Macaca mulatta: one gene and its partner. The protein of the gene in region 2 interacts with the protein of the main gene of each other region in a pairwise test. Links are inferred from orthologs where the notes say so. Each region holds a gene or a part of one and is shown on either strand. Other genes may lie near its edges.

The links.
Region 1: the proteins of MYPN (region 2) and ANKRD1 interact in a two-hybrid assay, tested with the Homo sapiens proteins (2 studies listed by BioGRID). The link is inferred for Macaca mulatta from reciprocal best matches to the Homo sapiens genes MYPN and ANKRD1.

Annotation. Positions count from the first base shown.
Region 1 is NC_133414.1:102,938,705-102,948,554, forward strand, and holds ANKRD1 (ankyrin repeat domain-containing protein 1), read right to left. Parts: upstream 9,407-9,850; 5' UTR 9,105-9,406; coding exon 9,078-9,104; intron 8,420-9,077; coding exon 8,240-8,419; intron 7,341-8,239; coding exon 7,203-7,340; intron 7,059-7,202; coding exon 6,951-7,058; intron 5,913-6,950; coding exon 5,814-5,912; intron 4,348-5,813; coding exon 4,249-4,347; intron 3,971-4,248; coding exon 3,872-3,970; intron 3,732-3,871; coding exon 3,633-3,731; intron 1,060-3,632; coding exon 949-1,059; 3' UTR 179-948; downstream 1-178. UniProt on the Homo sapiens protein: May play an important role in endothelial cell activation. May act as a nuclear transcription factor that negatively regulates the expression of cardiac genes. Induction seems to be correlated with apoptotic cell death in hepatoma cells.
Region 2 is NC_133414.1:81,551,930-81,561,373, forward strand, and holds the end of MYPN (myopalladin), read right to left. Parts: intron 6,968-9,444; coding exon 6,834-6,967; intron 3,490-6,833; coding exon 3,320-3,489; 3' UTR 1,758-3,319; downstream 1-1,757. UniProt on the Homo sapiens protein: Component of the sarcomere that tethers together nebulin (skeletal muscle) and nebulette (cardiac muscle) to alpha-actinin, at the Z lines.

The DNA of each region.
Region 1 (9,850 bases), about 21 Mb from region 2:
CTGAATCAGAAATCTGCATTTTAACCAGATCCCCAGGTGATCTGTATGCATATTAAATACTGGGAGTGCTGTTGTATGGGACATTTCTAATCCACAAAACTTGGAAAACAATGGGAGAAAACCCCTCCTATAGAGCTTGTTTTTCACATAGGACATTTCCACCACACTTATAGACAGGTTTAGAGGTTTAGAGTTTGCTTGCTTTTATTATGAATATAAAATGTACATACAATACAATATACATTTACACATTTACAGTTTGCATTTCCTTTCATCTTTTTTGAGCAAATTCAATTTTGCATGTCCCAGTTTGCCGCTCCTTCCACTGCCTTGCACTTACACTCATGACGTTCTCTTCACCTGGGTACTCTGTGTACTTGGTTAAAAAAAAAAAAAAAAAAAAAAAAGTCCTGCCTGGGGGTAAAATAGCTGGCTTCACTGTCCTTTTCACAGAATCACTTTCCTTCCATTGTTTCCTTTCCTGTCCCTACATGCCTTCCCTTGCTTCATTCAAACTTCTGCATTAAAAATTCAGGAGAAAAGAGGGCTGCAATAATCAGCCCTCTCTTAAAAACTCTTACATAAGCGAATGACACGTAAGTAGGCACTTGAACTTTGCTCTTTCACCTGGTTTAAGAACTACCTATGGGAGGGCTCTGAAAGTGTTATATACAAATGAAGCTCTGGTCACCAAATGGATTATCATGAAGGTCTGAATATCAGTAGCGTGGTAGTAAATAAATAAACAGAAATACATAAAAATAAACAGAGTTTCACTAAAGGAAATTTAAACACATATAACCCTGTGCTTTCTCAAAACTTCATTAGGTACATCTTCACAACACGTTGATAAATAGAAACTAGATTTTATGGCTAGTGTCTCTTCTCTTGGGCCATGCCTTCAAAATACCAGTAAACATTTACTGATCAAAGAGTCTGTCGTTTCCCTCAGAATGTAGCTATGCGAGAGGTCTTGTAGGAGTTCTCTTTGAGGCTATCGAATATTGCTTTGGTTCCATTCTGCCAGTGTAGCACCAGATCCATTGGCGTCTTCCCAGCCTAATCAAATGAGACAAGGAAACTTGACTTTCAGGTGGGTGACATCTGTAAATTCACATTCTCTGTGTGTGTTTCATGAGGTAAGGATTAGGTATATAACAGTGTTTTACAGTTTCCACTAGTGATCTGCAGTTTGTACTCAAACCAACCCTTCACTGTTTCTCAGAGGGATGCTTTTCCCATTTTAAGAGTAGAAATCTTTTTCACGTGGGACCATTCCAGGTATTGGTAAAATCCATTGTCCCTAGATACTAAGTGTCAAGAGCACCTCAAGTCATTTTGAAATTCATAAAATGCCTCCATACATCTTCCAGTATCCTGTGGAATGGGTTCCCGGAGGTGGCAGCATCCCTCTTGGACCAAGAATCAATGCCTATCCATTTGAACGATAGTTCTTTGATTGATAAGAAATGGTAGTAAATGAGCTGCATCAATAACTTGGCTTAAGTACTCAGGTACTGCTTGGGTACTATTACTGTTCCTGGGAACAGATTTTTCAGAACTTGTCAGAATTTTCAATGAACTCTCCCAGGAAATTTGTTTTTCTTGGAGTTGATGGCAATGACATGTGTGAACAAATCATTTTTGAGACGAAATTTTGATTTCCCTTATGCACATGTCTCAAGATTTAAAAATATTAAAACCATATCATCTCTCAATTCTTATCTATAGATCTGAGAAGTCCTAATTTTTTCCATCTCTATTCATTGAGAAGTTTCTTTTTAACCCAGTGACTGCAAATTGGCAGCTTTGAGATGCAAACCAGAATAGAGACTTGTTTTGTTTTGACCCAAAGAGAACTTAGATTTTTGTTAAGATTAGTATGAATTGGCAACAATTGGAAACCAAGAGATTTCCCAACTGGATTTGTGACTTCTATGAAAAAATCAGAAGAGTTAACAACATGGTACCCATGGTTCTACAGAGCAACATAGACTGGGTTGGGGAAGGGCCACCTTTAAAAGAGTTATGTGCACAGACCCTGACAACCACACATTGAAGTCACTTATGCCATTTGCCCGGCACAGTGAGGTCAGCCTGCAGTCAGATTACGCGATCTGTAGGTATTTAAATTAGTGGCCCTATAACTTTCATTTTGGAACTTCCCCACCTTTGTAGTGTCTTTCTCTAGGAACAGTCATCAGTAGACATGAATATAGAGTTTTGGATAATGAGAAAATATTGTATGCTGCTCCCGATCTCCTTTACATGGTATCAATAGGTTATTGATCTTTGGGGAAAACATCAATCCATTGGGTCAATGACATTAATAGTTCCATAAACCTGATGCTAAGATCTAACTGATAATTCAGAGCCCTATTTGTATATTCTGGGCTACTCTTCCAAAAATTCCTTGCACTTCTCTCCATTGAAATTTATATCGTGATTTTTCTGGCTACTTACACAGTCTCCCTAAAGCTGTATGCTGCCATTTGTCTCTGCTGGGAGTGTCTGACTGCCTGAAAAAAACTCTTCACATTTTCTGCAGCTTTCAAGATTTCATTGAACCTGCTCTTTTTCTGAGAGTTTTAAAAAATTACTAGATAAGATCAATTCCAATATCTAGACTGAGGGAGCCCTACTGTTAACACTTTCCCACTCCAAGCAATCTTCATTTATCACCATTCTTTGTTCCTGTCACCAAGCCAGATTTTTTTTAAACGGTAAAATATTCTTCTCAGTCTTTGCAACACAAATAAGGGGAGAAAATTATTTGCATTTATATGATGACTGAGTTTCCCTCCCCACCCCCTCCTCTTTTTTGTAAAGTGATTCTTCAAAAGCTTCTTTAAATTTATTTCTTCAGAAATTTATACCTGTTCCTCTGGGCAATATTTTTTAAGCTTATATTAGATGGTGTTTGTCTGGAAATTGAGACCATGAGGAAACGTTGGTTATGTTCCCTGCTTACAGATGAAGTTAAATTAATATGTACTTATACAAGAATTTTCAGGGCCTAAATATAGGAAATTATTTTGAGAGATGTGAAGACAAATCCAAGTGGAGAATGGATAGAAATTATCTGAAAAAAAATACAGGCAAAAGCACAGCTACCCCTGGAAGAAAATGATGACATTTCACATTGCTGTAAGGAGGAAAGGGACTTTCTGAATTACTCAGATTGGATATTGATTAACCTTAGTTCACTGCCTGCACTGACCCTTGTGGAATTTTAGGACATTTTGGAAATGGTGGATGCCTTTATTTCTAACTTCCTCAGCCCTTGCACAGACAGAAATGGCCAAGGCAGATTGGACTTCTAGGTGTTTGTGGGGATGAGCAAATTTTGACTATCTTTCATTTCCAAGACCAAATTGTAAAAGAATTATTATGCACTGTATCAGGCACTGAGGTCACTGAGGTCATAGAAGTATCTATGGCTTCCCCCATCTCTGGCCGTGTGACCTGAGTCCTAACCAAGATAAACACCATCCTTGGGGAAATGGGCAGGGGCATTTAGACCATCGAAGACCCCTCAAATGCTGCCACTGTGGGAGTCGTTTCACCTATTTAAGAAATGCTCCTGGAAATTGGAAAGCTTGCAAGCGGTGTTTCTTGTTTCCAGTACTTACACAGTTCTTGATGTTGAGATCCGCGCCATACATAATCAGGAGTCTGATCATCTTATAGCGGTTCAGTCTCACCGCATCATGCAACGGGGTATCTCCTTCCTAGAGAAGCAGAGTCAACAGGTTCAAGCTGGGTCTGAGGCCAGGAAGTGGGTCCTGCAAGGGCACCCAGGCTTGGGAGAGTGATTCCCAATACAAAAGCAGTGAAGCTTTGGGAAACCCGAGCGTGTCCAGCTACTCACTCTGTCTTTGGCGTTGAGGTCTGCCTCACAGGCGATAAGATGCTCCGCGCACTCATAGTGGCCAGTCCTCACCGCCACATGCAGCGCTGTGCTGAGCAACTGGAAAATTGGAAAACGCTGCTGATTCGCTAGGAATGAGGACAGAGGCTGTCCCAGACCCCAAGACATGTGCGAGGGGGAGAAGTGGTCACTAGGGTGCCTGCGCACAGCATGGGCCTCCAGATGACTTTAATGGAGAGGCAAGGTTAGGAGATGAAGGAGTAGGGGAGGAGGACGGGCGAGTAGGGGAGAGGGAGGCGGGGGGAAGAATGTGAGAAGTGGAGAAGGGGAGGCAGGGAGGGGGAAGGGATGAATGAAGGGAGAAGAAGAAGAAATACCTTATCTCGGGCGCTAATTTTTGCTCCTTTGTTCAGCAACAATTTTAAAACATCCAGGTTTCCTCCACGGCTTGCCCAGTGGATGGCTGTGGATTCAAGCTACACCGGGACGGAAAAAGACCCAACAATGTGAAGGAGAATGTGGTCTGGGGAATTAGAATCTGGTTGCTAGGGGCATCCGTGATAATACTGAGTTGTCCCCATCTAGATCGCCAATTCTAACTGGAGTCAAAGGTTCTTACCAAATGTGTTAGCTAAATTACGTGTGTGTGTGTGCATACGTGTGTCTTATTAGGAGGCTCTTAATAAATCTAATAATGTTTTAAAAGAATAAGAGCGACCATTTATTGAGACAGTTCTCATGCCAACATGGTGCTACACTCTAGACACCTTGATTCTTCCAGCAACATTTTGAGGTAGATGTTACTATGCACATTTTGCAGATAAGAAAAACCAGGTTCCAAAAAGTTCAAGTTTCTAGCCCAAGGAAACACAATTAATAAGAGGCAGAATACATAGTCCAACCCCCATCTGCCTGGAACTTCTAACTACTTTTGTCAAATGTACTCAAAAGTTCTAAACACATGTATTTAAAAATTCTAGCAGAATAAAAGTTGTCCCTTCCAAAATATTTTAATCTGGATCTGTCACCTCATCTAGGGTCCCTGTCGCTCTTTCTCTATCTCTGTGGGTTTTCTGCTCTCATTTTTGCTAGCACAGCCTCTGTACCTCAACTATAGTCACTTGTGTCTACAGTTGTAACGTGTATAGTTACACCTGGGAGACCCTCTCCTCACTGATCTATGTGGTTGATATGCCCCTGGCCTTAATCTCACACTCAAGATTTTTAGTTTCCATGCAAACTTCATATTTTGTTTCTTTATTTTTTTTTTTCAATGTGTTTATGTTTTGGATTCAATTTTGGCCAAGTCCTTTGGATTTCTTTGATATCCCGTTTCTGCTTTGCTATAAAGTCAAAATGAGCTGCATTTAAGTACATAAAGAATTTTCCCAGCTCAATCTGCAGTTCATAAATTATGCTGCATACTGGTCTTTGTAAAAATCACAGTGATTGAATTATTGAGGTCTGAATAGCAGCTACTTTCCATAGATGCAACTCATTTCATATTCAGTCTAGCCCTAAATCTCATTGGTAACAATTGGCATCTATAATATAAAGTGTACAGCTAGAGAATTCATATATGTTGCTGGCAGCCAAGGGACCATGAGCAGGCTGCCCTGTGAACAATGGAGGGACAAGGCTGTTGAAAGGCAAGTGTCGAAAATGAATGACTAACTCACTGATGAGGATATTGAATTCAGTTGAACAGCTTTCACTTCCTTCTTTTCCCTAAAATATTCCTCTATTTTCAGTATGTATGGAAAATATTTTCACATGACCTACTCTCATCTCCCAACTTTTCTTTATTTGGAGAAATGAGCTTTTGCCTAGTTCTCTCAGATCAATTTTCAGTCCAATCAGTCCGGTTTTGCATTGGAGGTTTTCCGGAGCTTCATATAGTCTACTTCTTTTGGCTCATTCCCAAGCAAAGAAATATATTTACCATATCACGGAATTCGATCTGGGCTCCAGCTTCCATTAACTTCTCCACAATTGCCAAATGTCCTTCCAAGCATGCTCTATGAAGAGCTGTCCGTTTATACTGTCAGAACAGAGATTTTAAAAAGAGATAGCAATAAATATAAAAATGTGCATAAACCCTTTTAAGAGCTATGAAGCTGGAGATTCTGATGACCTAACTGATAGAAACTCAAGTGCTTCTTTATGAATAGAAATGTCAAAGTTAACTAAAGTTGCAGAATCAGAACAATTATCCTGCAACTAATATTTGAGCTTCCTTCAACATACATTTCTAAGGGCTCAAAGGCCTACGTTGAGGAATGTGAACTTAAAGGCTCAAAACTGTCTAAATGCTGACGTCTCCCTTTCTTGTATCTTGCACCTTCCTTGTTCATGTAACATTACCATGCAGATCAGACAGTTTTCTTGTATCTAGGACTGTTGCTAGACTGACTATCAAAAAGTTTCCATTCATTTTTAGGAGAATGGGAGACACGTTTTTAGTTCAACTTTAGAAGCGATCCCCAATTTCACTTCATGGGGGAAAGAATACAAAAGGATTAGTGATTTCTGATAAATTGGCTTTATCTGAATGGGCGAATGGACTATTAGAGCTGGAACAACTTTAGGCATTATTTCACTCCAATGCCCCATGTTTACAGATAAGGAAACCACAGCCCAGAGGATGCAAATTAGCTGCTCAAAACCAAATAGCCAAGTAGTGGTACAACTGGCCCCTGAACTCCAGTCTCCAGATTTCCTATCTAGTGTTGACATGTTTGGTTTTAATCCAAGATGATGCTAATTATCTCTCTCTAAAGGTGACTCTTTGGCCCACATTAAAATCTTATCACAAGGATCTAAGAAGTTAAAAAAAAAACTGAAAAATCAGCCAGATGTATATGAGTGCAAAAGACAATACAATCCGTAGCACTGATCCAATATATATTTATTTTTTGGACCACTGAACTCTCCTATTAGGCTCCTGGCACACACAGCAACAGCTGGGGAAACTGTTTCAGGTGGAAGGACTTTGGCATTATATTAGCAAGACTGCAGTAAAGCATAAGAAACATAAAATTAATGTGCTGGATTTTGCAGTGCTTTGCATGAGTCTTACCTCATCACAAACATCTGGGTTGTTCTTGTCTGACAAGAATTTTTCTACTACTGGCAGTTTATTCTCCAGAGCAGCCTTCAGAAACGTAGGCACATCCACAGGTTCCGTCTAAAGCCAAAAAATATAGATATATATACATAGCATGAGAGTTACCGTGAGCTTGCCAACATTCAATCAAACCCTCCACAGATATTTGCTCCCCTGTAGCACAATACTGGACACGTATTACTGAAAACCAAAAAAAGTCCTTACAATGATTTCAGGTTCTGGTTCCTTTACAATGGGAACTTTAGTTTTCCTGTATTTTTTCCTTTTCTTCAGTTGAATGATTATTTCAAGGTCTTCTAAATTTTCAAGCTTTGATCTTTGTTCTAGTTTTTTCTTTTTGAGCTAAAAAGAAATTCGTATTTCAAAAATATGGTGAGTTCTACTGACAAGCATTCTGGTTGTGTCTAAACTAAATCTGCAAGGTCTGAGATAAACATGTGAACAGTTTGAGCAAAAACATTTTTTAAAAATTATATAAATCTTTGACTTCATTTTAGGGATTTCTTATTCAGATATTTATCTGGGAGTCTAATTTTCAGCTAATTGCCATCATCTTTACTTCTGTTGCTTGTAGAATCAGCCCTTGCCTAACTGAGGACACAATCTGGTCTCTAAGTGATGACTTTGTAATTAATGCCGTAAACAAGCTCTAGATTTTTGAAGGATTTTTAAAATTATGCTCAAAACTTGGTTTAATTTTTGAGCATGATAAAAAAGAATCTAACAATAAATGTTAAGCTCTGAAATATCAATGTCATTCTCTTTCACTAGGCAGAGCCTTCTAAAACAGACTGTCCAGGTACCACAGCTAACTAAAGCAACTTTTATCTGTGTTAGTAATTAAGGAAAATTCACCCAGAAACACAGATTGTGTCAACACAGACAGCAGACAGTTAAACAATGATCCAAGGACCACAGACCATGTTATTGAGAAAAAGAGATCTCCCTTGCTTGGGATTAACTACATGGTGTGTAACATCAGGAATTCACTGGACATGTGTATCTTTCAATCAAAACATGGTCACAGCACATTTATTCATTGATTCAGAATTCAGAGGTCATAGTCTTGTCAAAGAATTATTCCCAAAACCTGTTCCATACAAGTTGCCTCTTTATGGGTTAGAATCTGGTAAAGAAACATCTTAATGATTGGGTTTGCTTCTCTCTTCTCCTTCCCTGGCATTTCCAATCCCTGCTCCAGCCCCAACATCCTACTAGTGGATTCCACAGATGGCTCTCACCTCTGCCTCTCGTTGTTTCTCGCTTTTCCACTGTTGCTCCCCCAGGGTCACAGGGTGGGCTGGAAGTGTCTTCAGATCCTCCTGCTTCTCTAAAGTAACAGCAGCCTCATACTCTCCATCTCTGAAATCCTCAGGAAGGAATTCCCCTGCCTCCCCGTTGCCATTCTTCTTCCCAGTGACCTATGAGGGAAGAAGATGGCAGCGTCAGAAGCAGCAGCCTTGTCCTGGGTCCTTCTTCACAGACAATGCTGCAGGAGGCTCTGGGTCCTTCTTCCCTGGGAACAGCCACCTTTGAGCAGTGCACTCGCAGATCTCAAGCTGCGACACACGCACGCTGCTACAAATGTCTCAGAATTAACTTCAGGTGCTTGTCCTACTCTCTTGGTTAAATCAAAGCTTGGGTTAGGTTGACATATTTACATCTACTTTTAATCTGCTTAATCACATTTCTTTTAGGAAAGTCACAAACCTTCTCTACTTAATTAAAACTCAACTTTAAGTACTTTTGTTGACGCTTCACCTTGTTGTAAAGTTTCCAGACTTACATTCTTGCAAGAAAACTTCTTGCCTAAGACATTTTGATAACTACATGTGATTCCACACCGTAGTAATAAAACCAAAGGAGAAGATATTAAATAGGAAATATGCAGAGAATTCATTGCTGGTAGCTCCATTTTTTTTTTCCAATTTTACTTGTTTCATCACGTCAACCTTTTTCCACATATGACATTTTCAGAGTTCCCTTGCATTATGCCTGAAAGCAAAGGGCATTTCCATTTTCAAACAAAAACCAAGATGAACCAGTTGTCAATTTATTAAATTAATGTATCTTACATACCAGTTCCTCTACTTTCAGTACCATCATGTTGGCTGAAGGAGTCTTGTATGTTTTTCTGTCGTGGAAGGAATCCCTGGAGTTGGCCCTGCTGGGCCCCTCCACACCGGTCAGCTTATATAGCTGGGGCCGGGTGAGATAATCTTCCAACCTGGGAACCCTAGTAACACCCCCGCCCCTACTAGGAGCCAACTCAGAGGCAGGTGAATTTTCATTCCAGACTCAGTGTCTGGGAAGCTGAAGAGGGAGGGGAGGACAAGCTAACCCCGCTGAATATGTGAATCAGGAAGAAATGTGAGAGGGCCATTCCTTTGGTGGTGATCACACCGCTCAGCAATGCAAGTCATCCTATTTGTCAAGAGGCAGGGGACAGCTGTCTGTTGACATTGCACCACATCACTGCCCTTTTTTTTCTTTGTCAGCTTTCATATGACTACCTATCAAGAAAATGTAGATGCCCTACATATCACACCCCAGTAATATCTTTCTGATAAGCAGACTTATCAACACTTCACTTAGGGGAAACTTGCCTCAGGACATCCTATTCCCCGGGTAAACAGCCTAAGGGGAAGGGATCTGGGCCCTAAGGGCACTTGTCTATATCTGTTTGGAATTCTTTGGAGTGATGTCTGGGGCTAAATAGGCCCCATGACATGCCACCTTACCATCATTATAAGAAATTGAAAGCATTCAGTAATGCACTTGTCTTTTATGATGTCACTGGCCATAATTAGCACATGACATGCTTACCGTGTTCTTAAACAGCATAATAATTG
Region 2 (9,444 bases):
AACAAACAAACAAAAAACAAGACTATTACTGAGTGCAAGTGAAGGAAGTAATGGAAGTCTGAACTGGAGCACTGCAGGGGAAAGGAAGAAACTCCTGACTATAAGAAGAATGATAGAAGTAGAATTAGCAGGACTTGTCCATTGATAGGGTAGAGGAAGCAAAAACTGACTTGGATGTTTCTTATTAGAATTATGAAGAACGTTGATGGTGCCATTAACAGAAATCATTAAACTGATTAAGGAATGATTTATAAAGGGAAGATGAATCTGATTTTGGATATGTTGAAAACAAACATCCAATGGAACTAAAATTTTTATTCAAATATTCCTCATTGCAATTGAATTCTAATTGGATTCTTTTTTTAAAGTTAATATTTTGTAGAGATAGAGTCTTGCTATTTGCTTAGGCTGGCCTCGAACTCTTGGGCTCAAGCGATCCTCCTGCCTGGGCCTCCCAAAGTGCCGGAATTACAGGCATGAGTCATCGTGCTGGGTTGAATTCTAGTGGAATTCTTAAAGCAGGGCCCTGATTTGTTTGACACAGTGATTCTCAACAAAGGGGTATTCTGCCTTTTAGGGAACATATGGCCATGTCTGGAGACATTTTGGGCTGCCACAACTTGGGGAAGAACAACTAGTGGGTAGAGGCCAGGGATGCTGCTAAACATTCCACAATGCACAGGACAGTCCGCCATAACAAAGAATTATCCAGTCCAAAGTGTCAGTACCCTTGAGGTTGGGAAACCCTGCTTTAATATAATCTAATAGCTCAAATTTCAGGAATTGTTAGGCCTGTTAATATTTGGGAGTGAGACAGTGTCATCTAGTGGCCAAATGTAATATTTATCCTAGTTCTCTGTTGAACACTAAAGGCAAGAGAAAAAATTCAGAAAGCTAAGACACAGAGATGAAGAACATCCTTTCATGGGAGAACCATCTAGGGTTTACAGAAGTAGGTGTGATGGGGAGGTCTTGTGTACAATCTAGAAGCAGTCCTGGAGTTAGAAAGTGCTCTTTAAGCTGGACACGGTGGCTTACGCCTGTAATCCCAGCACTTTGGGAGGCTGAGGTGGGTGGATCACTTGAGGTCAGGAGTTCGAGACCAGCCTGGCCAACACAGCGAAACCCCATCTCTACAAAAAATACAAAAATTAGCCGGGCGTGGTGTTGCGTGCCTGTAATCCCAGCTACTTGGGAGGCTGAGGCAGGAGAATCGCTGGAACCTGGGAGGCGGAGGTTGCAGTAAGCCAAGATCGTGGCATTGCACTGAAGCCTAGGTGACAGCAAGACTCCATTAAAAAAAAAAAGAAAGAAAGAAAGAAAAAAGTACTCTTTGCTTATAAGAGATCTCATAATAGAAGTCAATATGGAAACAATATTTTACTGGATTCCATATGAAATGCATTCTATTCCATTACGGGTGCCTATATTGCATTACTGTTACTGAATGCATTAAAAAACAGAATCTAATAATCCTGCTGAATAATTGAAATAGTTATTGCTTGGGGATGTAACCTATGGCATTTTGTTTTATTAAGAAATAAAGATTGAAAAGACTTTTAAAGTTATGAAAAAATAGAATGAAGAGCACTAGAAACTTCCACTTTGCTTCAAGAGACAGCATTCTGCATGCCTCAAATATTACCTTCTCTAGTAGGTTGTGAGCTCTCTGAGGGCAGGGACTGTGACTTATTCATATCTTTATATCTGCCTCAGTATCTAGCACAGCATCTCATACAGAGTAGACATACAAATGATTTCTCGAGTGAATGAATTTATTTTTATGCTGGAAATCCTTGCCTTGAAGTGAAGAAAGTTTCAAGCCTTTCTAAGCAGTTACTATCTGTTCACACAAATACAATGCCAGCTGGGGGTGCTTGGCACAGACAGCATCAGAGATTCGAGCACAGGGAATTGGTAACAGACACCTGCAATTCATTTCCCTGGACAGCCTAGAGCAAACTGTGCTATCATGAGCGTTCCCAGGGCAGTGTTTGGACTGGTGTGTGGGTGGTATATTCCTGCAGAATATAAGATTAGGCTATCTTATAATAGACATAATAATAGAAGATTCATTCATCCAGCAAATATTTATTGAATGTCTACTTTGTGCTAGGTACTCTTCTAGGCACTAGGGATATCACAGTGAACTCAAGTCTAAAAATTCCTTAAGAGGCAGGGTTTGAATTGGTGATTAGAATAAAGATGCATATTCCCCTTTCCCCCAACTTTTCCACTTAGCAGAATATTTTCTACATAGAAAACGCAATTTGACTAATGATCTCAAAGCATTTCAAAGCGATTAAAGACCTCTCCTTCCAAAACCACTGCTCTGCTGGGGCAAGTGACAAAAACAACACTCTCCCATCATTTCCTCTCCTTGTTTGTATCTCTTCCTTCCTCCTGCACTTTCAGACTTTTGGGGAGAGGGGTAGGAGCGCGTGAGGTGTATTTTGTGGGTCAATGATGACTCTTGCACATTTTGTAAGTGGCAGTTGAAGCTAGTAGTTTTTAAAGTGACCCCGCAGAGGATTTCTTTCTGATTGGCTTATTAACAATCCTTTAGTTCTAGTGTCTAGGGATATGCAAAGTCAGAAAAAACCAGTCACCACCCAAAAGAAAATGGTGCAGACAAGCTGGTAAGGCCATGTTTTGGCCACAAAATAAGTGCACTGTGCAATATCAACTGTTTCAGTGAGTTTTTGGACTTTCAAGCACATTTTGACACCTTATTATGTGGCTCAGTACACCCAGGATATGCAAATCAAAAGTGTCTGTCTGCATACGTGAGTTGTATGGCATGACCTCCTAATGCTAAGTGGAAGCTGATTTAGTGAATTCACCAAAACTACTGCTATACATGTAATCGATGAAAGGCGATGGTGACCTCCCCACCTTTCTCCTTGGCATTGTTTGGTGAGTTAGTTATATCCTAAGGTCACTACTGCCTAACTCCTCTCAGCCCAGGCATATTGCTCCTAATTGCTCCTAGTACAACCTAAACATCCCTAACACAACAGGGGGCAGGGGAACATGCTAGTTTTTTCCCAAAGCAGTGGATGGCAACTGTGTGACATCTTTGGTTCATCTGTATTATCTTCTCACATCTCTGTTGGAATCTTTAGAAGGCACGGCCCTACCTTTCTCCCCCAGCTGAGACTGCAAGAATCCCTAGCTGACTTGTTCAAAGCACTCCTTGACACAGGTCCAGCAGCGTGGGAACTTACTCAACTTCGGTTGTTTGGAAACCACCAAGTCTGGCTTGTTCTCATTCCCCCTCCACAGTCCGCTCTGTTACACAGCAGGCACCCAGACATTCTTAAAGTTCATCACTCTCCACCACACTCCGAGAAGAGCATGAATACACAATCGTGCTTTCCATGGAGGAAAAGGCAGAAAATATGTCAAGTCCTTTACTGGTGAGAGATCCGTAGCGACTGCCGCTGGGCCGGACAGACATGGGCGGTGGGATCTGATGGTGCCACTGAGCTGGAAAATGGACCAAACAATGTGTTATGATCAAAGGAATGCAGTCCACCAGGCACACCGCAGAGGCGCATTCGGTCCTCACCCTGATGCTCCCTGCAGATTCTTGGTAAAGCATGTAACTATATCTGGGTCTGAATTGCCTCATCTGTAGAAGAGAACAATAAAGCCTTCCCTGCCAGGAATAAGGAAACTGTGCTGGCAATGTCTTAAGCCCCTAATTCCAAAATCTGTGATTCTAATTCAGTAAGATACTAGAATCCTACAAGTGAGAGATTAGAATTCCTCTAAGATGGGGCCGGGCACAGTGGCTCATGCCTGTAATCCCAGCACTTTGGGAGGCTGAGGCGGGCACATCACTTGAGCTCAGGAGTTCAAGACCAGGCTGGCCAACATGGTGAAACCCAGTTTCTACTAAATACAAAAATGAGCTGGACATGGTGGTGTACACCTCTAATCCCAGCTACTCAGGAAGCTGAGGCATGAGAATCACTTGAACCCAGGAGGTGGCGGTTGCAGTGAGCCAAGATCACGCCAAGGCATGCCACTTCACCTAAGTGACACAGCGAGACTCCATCTCAAAAAAAAAAAAAGAATTCTATAAGATGGAAGAGTGAGTGACTAGGGCGATTTCTCAAGCTTATCCCCTTCCACCAGCCTACCATGAAGGCCTGTTAGGGGCAGTGTACAGAGGGTTGTAGGCTCTCAAAGAGGGTACCTCAAAAGATAGAGATAAGAAAGCTGCAGAAATGAAAGCCAAACAATGGGTTTGACCTGAGCAGTGCCTACCTCACACCCTAATCACCCTCATCAGCCATTACTTATCTACCCATCTCCCCAATCAGGTTCTATTGTTACAGCAAGAAGACTGAAAAGTAATTTAGGTACAATCAACCATGGTTCAGGGACAAAAGACAATTTATTAGAGTTTCTATGTTCACCAAGTGCTGCTGTTTTTAGCAGACACGACTTTAAGGTTTGAACATGGCCTGAGTGAGATACCCATCCAAACTTCATAGTCTCTGCCGTGGTTCCTGATTCAGAAATTACCAGGCAATCTTCTGACTAGGTTTCTGGGTACTTTGATGTGGAGAAGCGTGTTCCCTAGGTGGGGAACTCTCATGCTGTGGGTCCTGGAAAGCTGTGCCCCTTTCTAGCATTCCGATTTAGAAATTGGTCCTTTGTTGATTTCATCATCTTGATTCAGTTTTTCAGTCTACATACCTCTGAGTGAATTCGGAAAAATAAAAATCTGGGGGACCAAACTTAGAGCAGTTTCACTAAAGAGCAGACACTCAGTAAGGCCTGCTCTTGCACAGTCTCTCCTCCCAGCCCCTCCATCTCTTAGCCCTTCCCTGCTCTCTCTGACATCGTAACTGGACTACTGCAGTTCCTAGGATTAGGAAGTGAGACAGGAGAGAGGGGAGCCCTACGTGTCCCCATTCCTCAGAAAGGCAGGAAGTGTGGTGGTGGGGAAGGGAACTGATTCCAGCCCGAGTCCTCCACGCCTTCTCCATCCTAGGTCCCAGCTGAGGAAACAGCACTGCCTATCGTTGGTGCTATGGAAGCAGGACAGGAACGAAAGGGAGAGGAGAGCCAGGACAAAGTGACCTGGAAACTCACCCACTGGAGGGCAGGATTGGCGCAAGAGTCATCTGTTTCAGGGCTTATTGGTAGGGAGTTTCTCAGTTGGAGACCTACTGCCTTCTGACTTGGTGAAGACTGGGAAATGGCTAAGGACTTAGCCTTGATTAAGGAACCTATCACTATTGGCCTCTTTCTCCCCCAATTTTTCCAGGGAAAAGCACATTAGTGTCGTTTAATTTCTTCTCAAGTCCTAGGATAAGGGAAAATAACCAGAAAATTACATATTTTCTCCAAAAACTAGACCTAGGGAAAATGGCAGGCTGAAGCCCCTCCCGCATGGTACTAAACAAACGGAATACCTGCTGTGTACCCATAAATAACAGAGACGTCTGTCAGGCAACAGACAGAGCTACTCTTATTTATTATGTTGGTTAATCAGGTTAAGCCAGTTTTGAATGTGAGACTTTCTAATCAATTATGTTCTTTAAAAAAAGGATTAAAAAAAAAAAGAAACACTCTTTTGGGTTAAGAAATATGTCTCCAAAAATACCAGTTAATGTCAAAAAGTGTAGGATTGACTACACAAATACATAAATAAAAATTAATTTCTTGGATCCTTTTGAAAATTGGAAATGTGGTTCAAAGAAACAATGCAAAGGCCTAGATTTGCTTCCTAGCTGTAGTCACTAACCTCTCTGAGCCTTCCACTAAATATATAACACAGCCAATTCAGGTGTGGGGGAGCTTCCCAGAAGACGTGCTCCAGCTCAGTCTAAAAGGTTGAGTGGAAACTCACAGGGAGGGTGGGGCGGGCTGTTCCAGGTGGTGGGACAGCTTGTACAATGTTGTTACTCTCATGTGATCTTCAGCCTTAGATGAAGGTAACTACAATTATAATAATCTCATGGGTCTGGGAGATTTAAGGGTATCACTTTGGATCCCGCCTTTGGAAGAGAGAGGGGATCCTATGTGTCATTCTACAAATGTCACTTGATATTATCATTATTAGGACAGCTCTCTATTATTAGAGACGTCTGATTGGGGGATTGGAGCAATACACATTTGTTAAATGAATAAATGAAAGGAGTGTCAAAAATTCTGCCGGGGGATCACAGGTAGTGGGAAGTTCCAGTGGGTAGCCCGCAGCAGCAAGGAGATGGCAAGAAAACACTGGATGTTCAGAAGCACAAGCACTTGGAAACTCTGGACTAGCTGTAATTCCTGATATTAGAGGCCCTCTTTTGGAAGAAGGTTAAGCTCATAGTAAAATGTAAAAGTAATGCCCTGAGGTAACCAGGATGAGATGACTTTTAAAATCTATCTCTTAAGCACTAAAATATAGTATAGCCTACCCAATTCATTTATGGAAGCATACTCCATCTATCTTTATTTTATTTATTTATTTAGAAGCAGAGTCTTGCTCTGTTACCCAGGCTGGAGTGCAGTGGTACAATCTCGGGTCACTGCAACCTCTGCCTCCTGGGTTCAAGCGATTCTCCTGCCTCAGCTACCTGAGTAGCTGGGATTACAGGCATGTGCCACCATGCCTGGCTAATTTTTGTATTTTTAGTGGAGGTGGGGTTTCACCATGTTGACCAGGCTGGTCTTGAACTCCTGACCTCGGGTGATCTGCCTGCCTTGGCCTCCCGAAGTGCTGAGATTACAGGCGTGAGCCACCTTGCCCGGCCCACTTATCTTTAAAGAAAGATTTGTAAGCTATCAGTTGCATACAGATGTTCAACTGACAGCATTACACTTACCGTATATATCCAGCCTGGCAGTGCACGACACGATGCCGGCTTCGTTCTTGGCTGACAACGTGTACCATCCAGCATCTGATTTCTTGGCTGGCTGAATGAGAAGGCAGGCATACCCTGTCGTGTCCTGGTGCATACTGGAGAAAAAGAGAATATACCTATATTTTATTTGGGAGCGGAAGTGCCTTTGTCAAATTTAGGGTTCCAGGAAGAAGGGGGAACTCAGCTTAAGGCAAACATCAAGACAAATTTGAAGGTGGAAGACGTCACAGAAGAGCAGCAGTGAGCTTAATCATACTAGGAGGAGGGGGCAGCTGGGGCTGAGACCTGCTCTTGCCCTCCCCACTGCTGCAAGTCCACTGAAGTTGCACTCCCCACCAGCAGAACCCCCACTTTTCACAACCAAAGTACAGAAAGATCTCTTTTCCAAACAAGGTTGGACATTGCATCAATTACTTTGTTAGGACGCTCTGGGAAAGCAGGACAAAACAGAGCCAGGGGGTGGATGGACTGGCAGCGTAGACAGCATTTCCTAATGTAACCAGCCGGGCTCACGCAGCATCCAGCTTCATGAGGTTTAGGAGGAAACCAGCCTGCTGTTTCCTTCTGTTTTTCTCCACATCAATAGTTTTTCACCTTGACTGCATGTTGGAATCCCAGGCCACATGCTAGGTAACCCTATCAGAATCAAAGGCTGGGATCCAAGCATTAGGATTTTTGGAAACACCCCAGAGATTCCAATAGGCAGCCATGGATCAAAAAACATCGGGCCACATGTTCCCTACACCCCTTGTTGGCCTGGCCCTCTTATCACTCATAGTTCCAAGCTCTCCTATGGGGCTGCCACAGCTCATTTGCACAGTAGGGGAAATAGCAACAGCTTCCTGAGCTCAAAGGATGAATAAGTGTTTGCCTTTCATTGAAAGTTATTATGTCTAAGAATTTATAAAGTAATAAGAATAAACAAGAATAAATCAATTAATAACAAGTACAACAAGAATAAAGTAATGAAATATCCACCACGATTTCACTAGATTAACACATTGGCTACCTTCACCTTCTGATTAGTTAATTAATTAATCCATTCATTCTTCGATATATTTCTTTAGTAAACACTGGATACTATGTTGGGGAAAATGCTGGGTGCTGTTGCCTTCGGTGGTGAGGGTGTAAAGATGAACAGGACAAAAATTTCTTCTCTTTTTTTTGAGACAGAGTCTTGCTCTGTTGCCCAGGCTGGAATGCAGTGGTATAATCTTGGCTCACTGCACCCTCCACCTCCCGGGTTCAAGAGACTCTTATGCCTCAACTTTCCAAGTAGCTGGGATTACAGATGCCCACCACCATGCCTGCCTAATTTTTTGTTGTTTTTAGTAGAAATGGAGTTTCACCCTGTTAGCCAGGCTGGTCTCGAACTCCTGACCTCAGGTGGTCCACCCGCCTTGGCCTCCCAAAGTGCTGGGATTATGGGTGTGAGCCACCACACCTAGCCAAAGAAATTCCTTCTCTAGAAGGATCCCTAAGTTTAATGGAAAATAAATAAATAAAAGATAAATAAGTAGAAATAAAGATAAATAGAATGCAAATGCTAGAGTAATGCTGTGGGAAAGATGCCTGGGGAAGACAGAGGGGAAAAGGTTATTCTGGGAAGCCGCAGTCATCAAGGAGGAAGCATGAAGATACTGGATGTTCAGAAGCACAAGCATATGTGAGGTTAGGCTCACAGAAAAATGTAACACTGTATAAAGACCTGAGATGACTAAAATGAGATTACTTTAACAATCTATTTCTCAAGCACTGAAATATAATGCAGCCAATTCAAGGGTGGGAAAACTTCCCAGAAGATGTGCTCCGGCTCAGTCTCAAAGGTCCAGTGGAAACTCACAGGGAGGGTGGGATGTGGCTGTTCCAGGTGGTGGAACAGCCTGCACAAAGGCAGGGGAGGGAGGGAGCCATGTTCCTTACAGCTGGGGTTGGAGGGCACACCGGGTACTGGCAAGTGGGGGGACTGGGAAGAAGGCAGGGGAGAGGGTCACGTGCACCATGGTAAAGGGATGGGACCCTTCCTCGCAGATTATGGGAAACTAATGATGTATTTTAAGCAGGAGCTGATATGATCCGTTTGTATTTTTTATTTATTTATTTTTTCTGAGATGGAGTCTCACTCTGTAGCCCAGGCTGGAGTGTAGTGGTGTGATCTCAGCTCAGTGCAACCTCTGCCTCCCAGGTTCAAGTAATTCTCCTGCCTCAGCCTCCCAAGTAGCTGGGATTACAGGCACGTGTCACCATGCCTTGCTAATTTTTGTATTTTTAGCAGAGACAGGGTTTTGCCATGTTAGCCAGGCTGCTCTCCAACTCCTGACCTCAGGTGATCTACCTGCCTTGGCCTCCCAAAGTGCTGGGATTACAGGCGTAAGCCACTGCACCCTGTCAGTTTGCATTCTTAAAAGATCATCTTCACAGTGGTGAGGAGGTGTATTGAATAGGGCTTGAGCCTGGCCGCAGAGAGACACATTAGGATGCTATTGCTGTAGTTTGATGAGGTGAGGCAATAGCAGCGGAAATTCATGCATTTGTTCATAATTCCTTCATCTTACATAATATGCTACTAGGT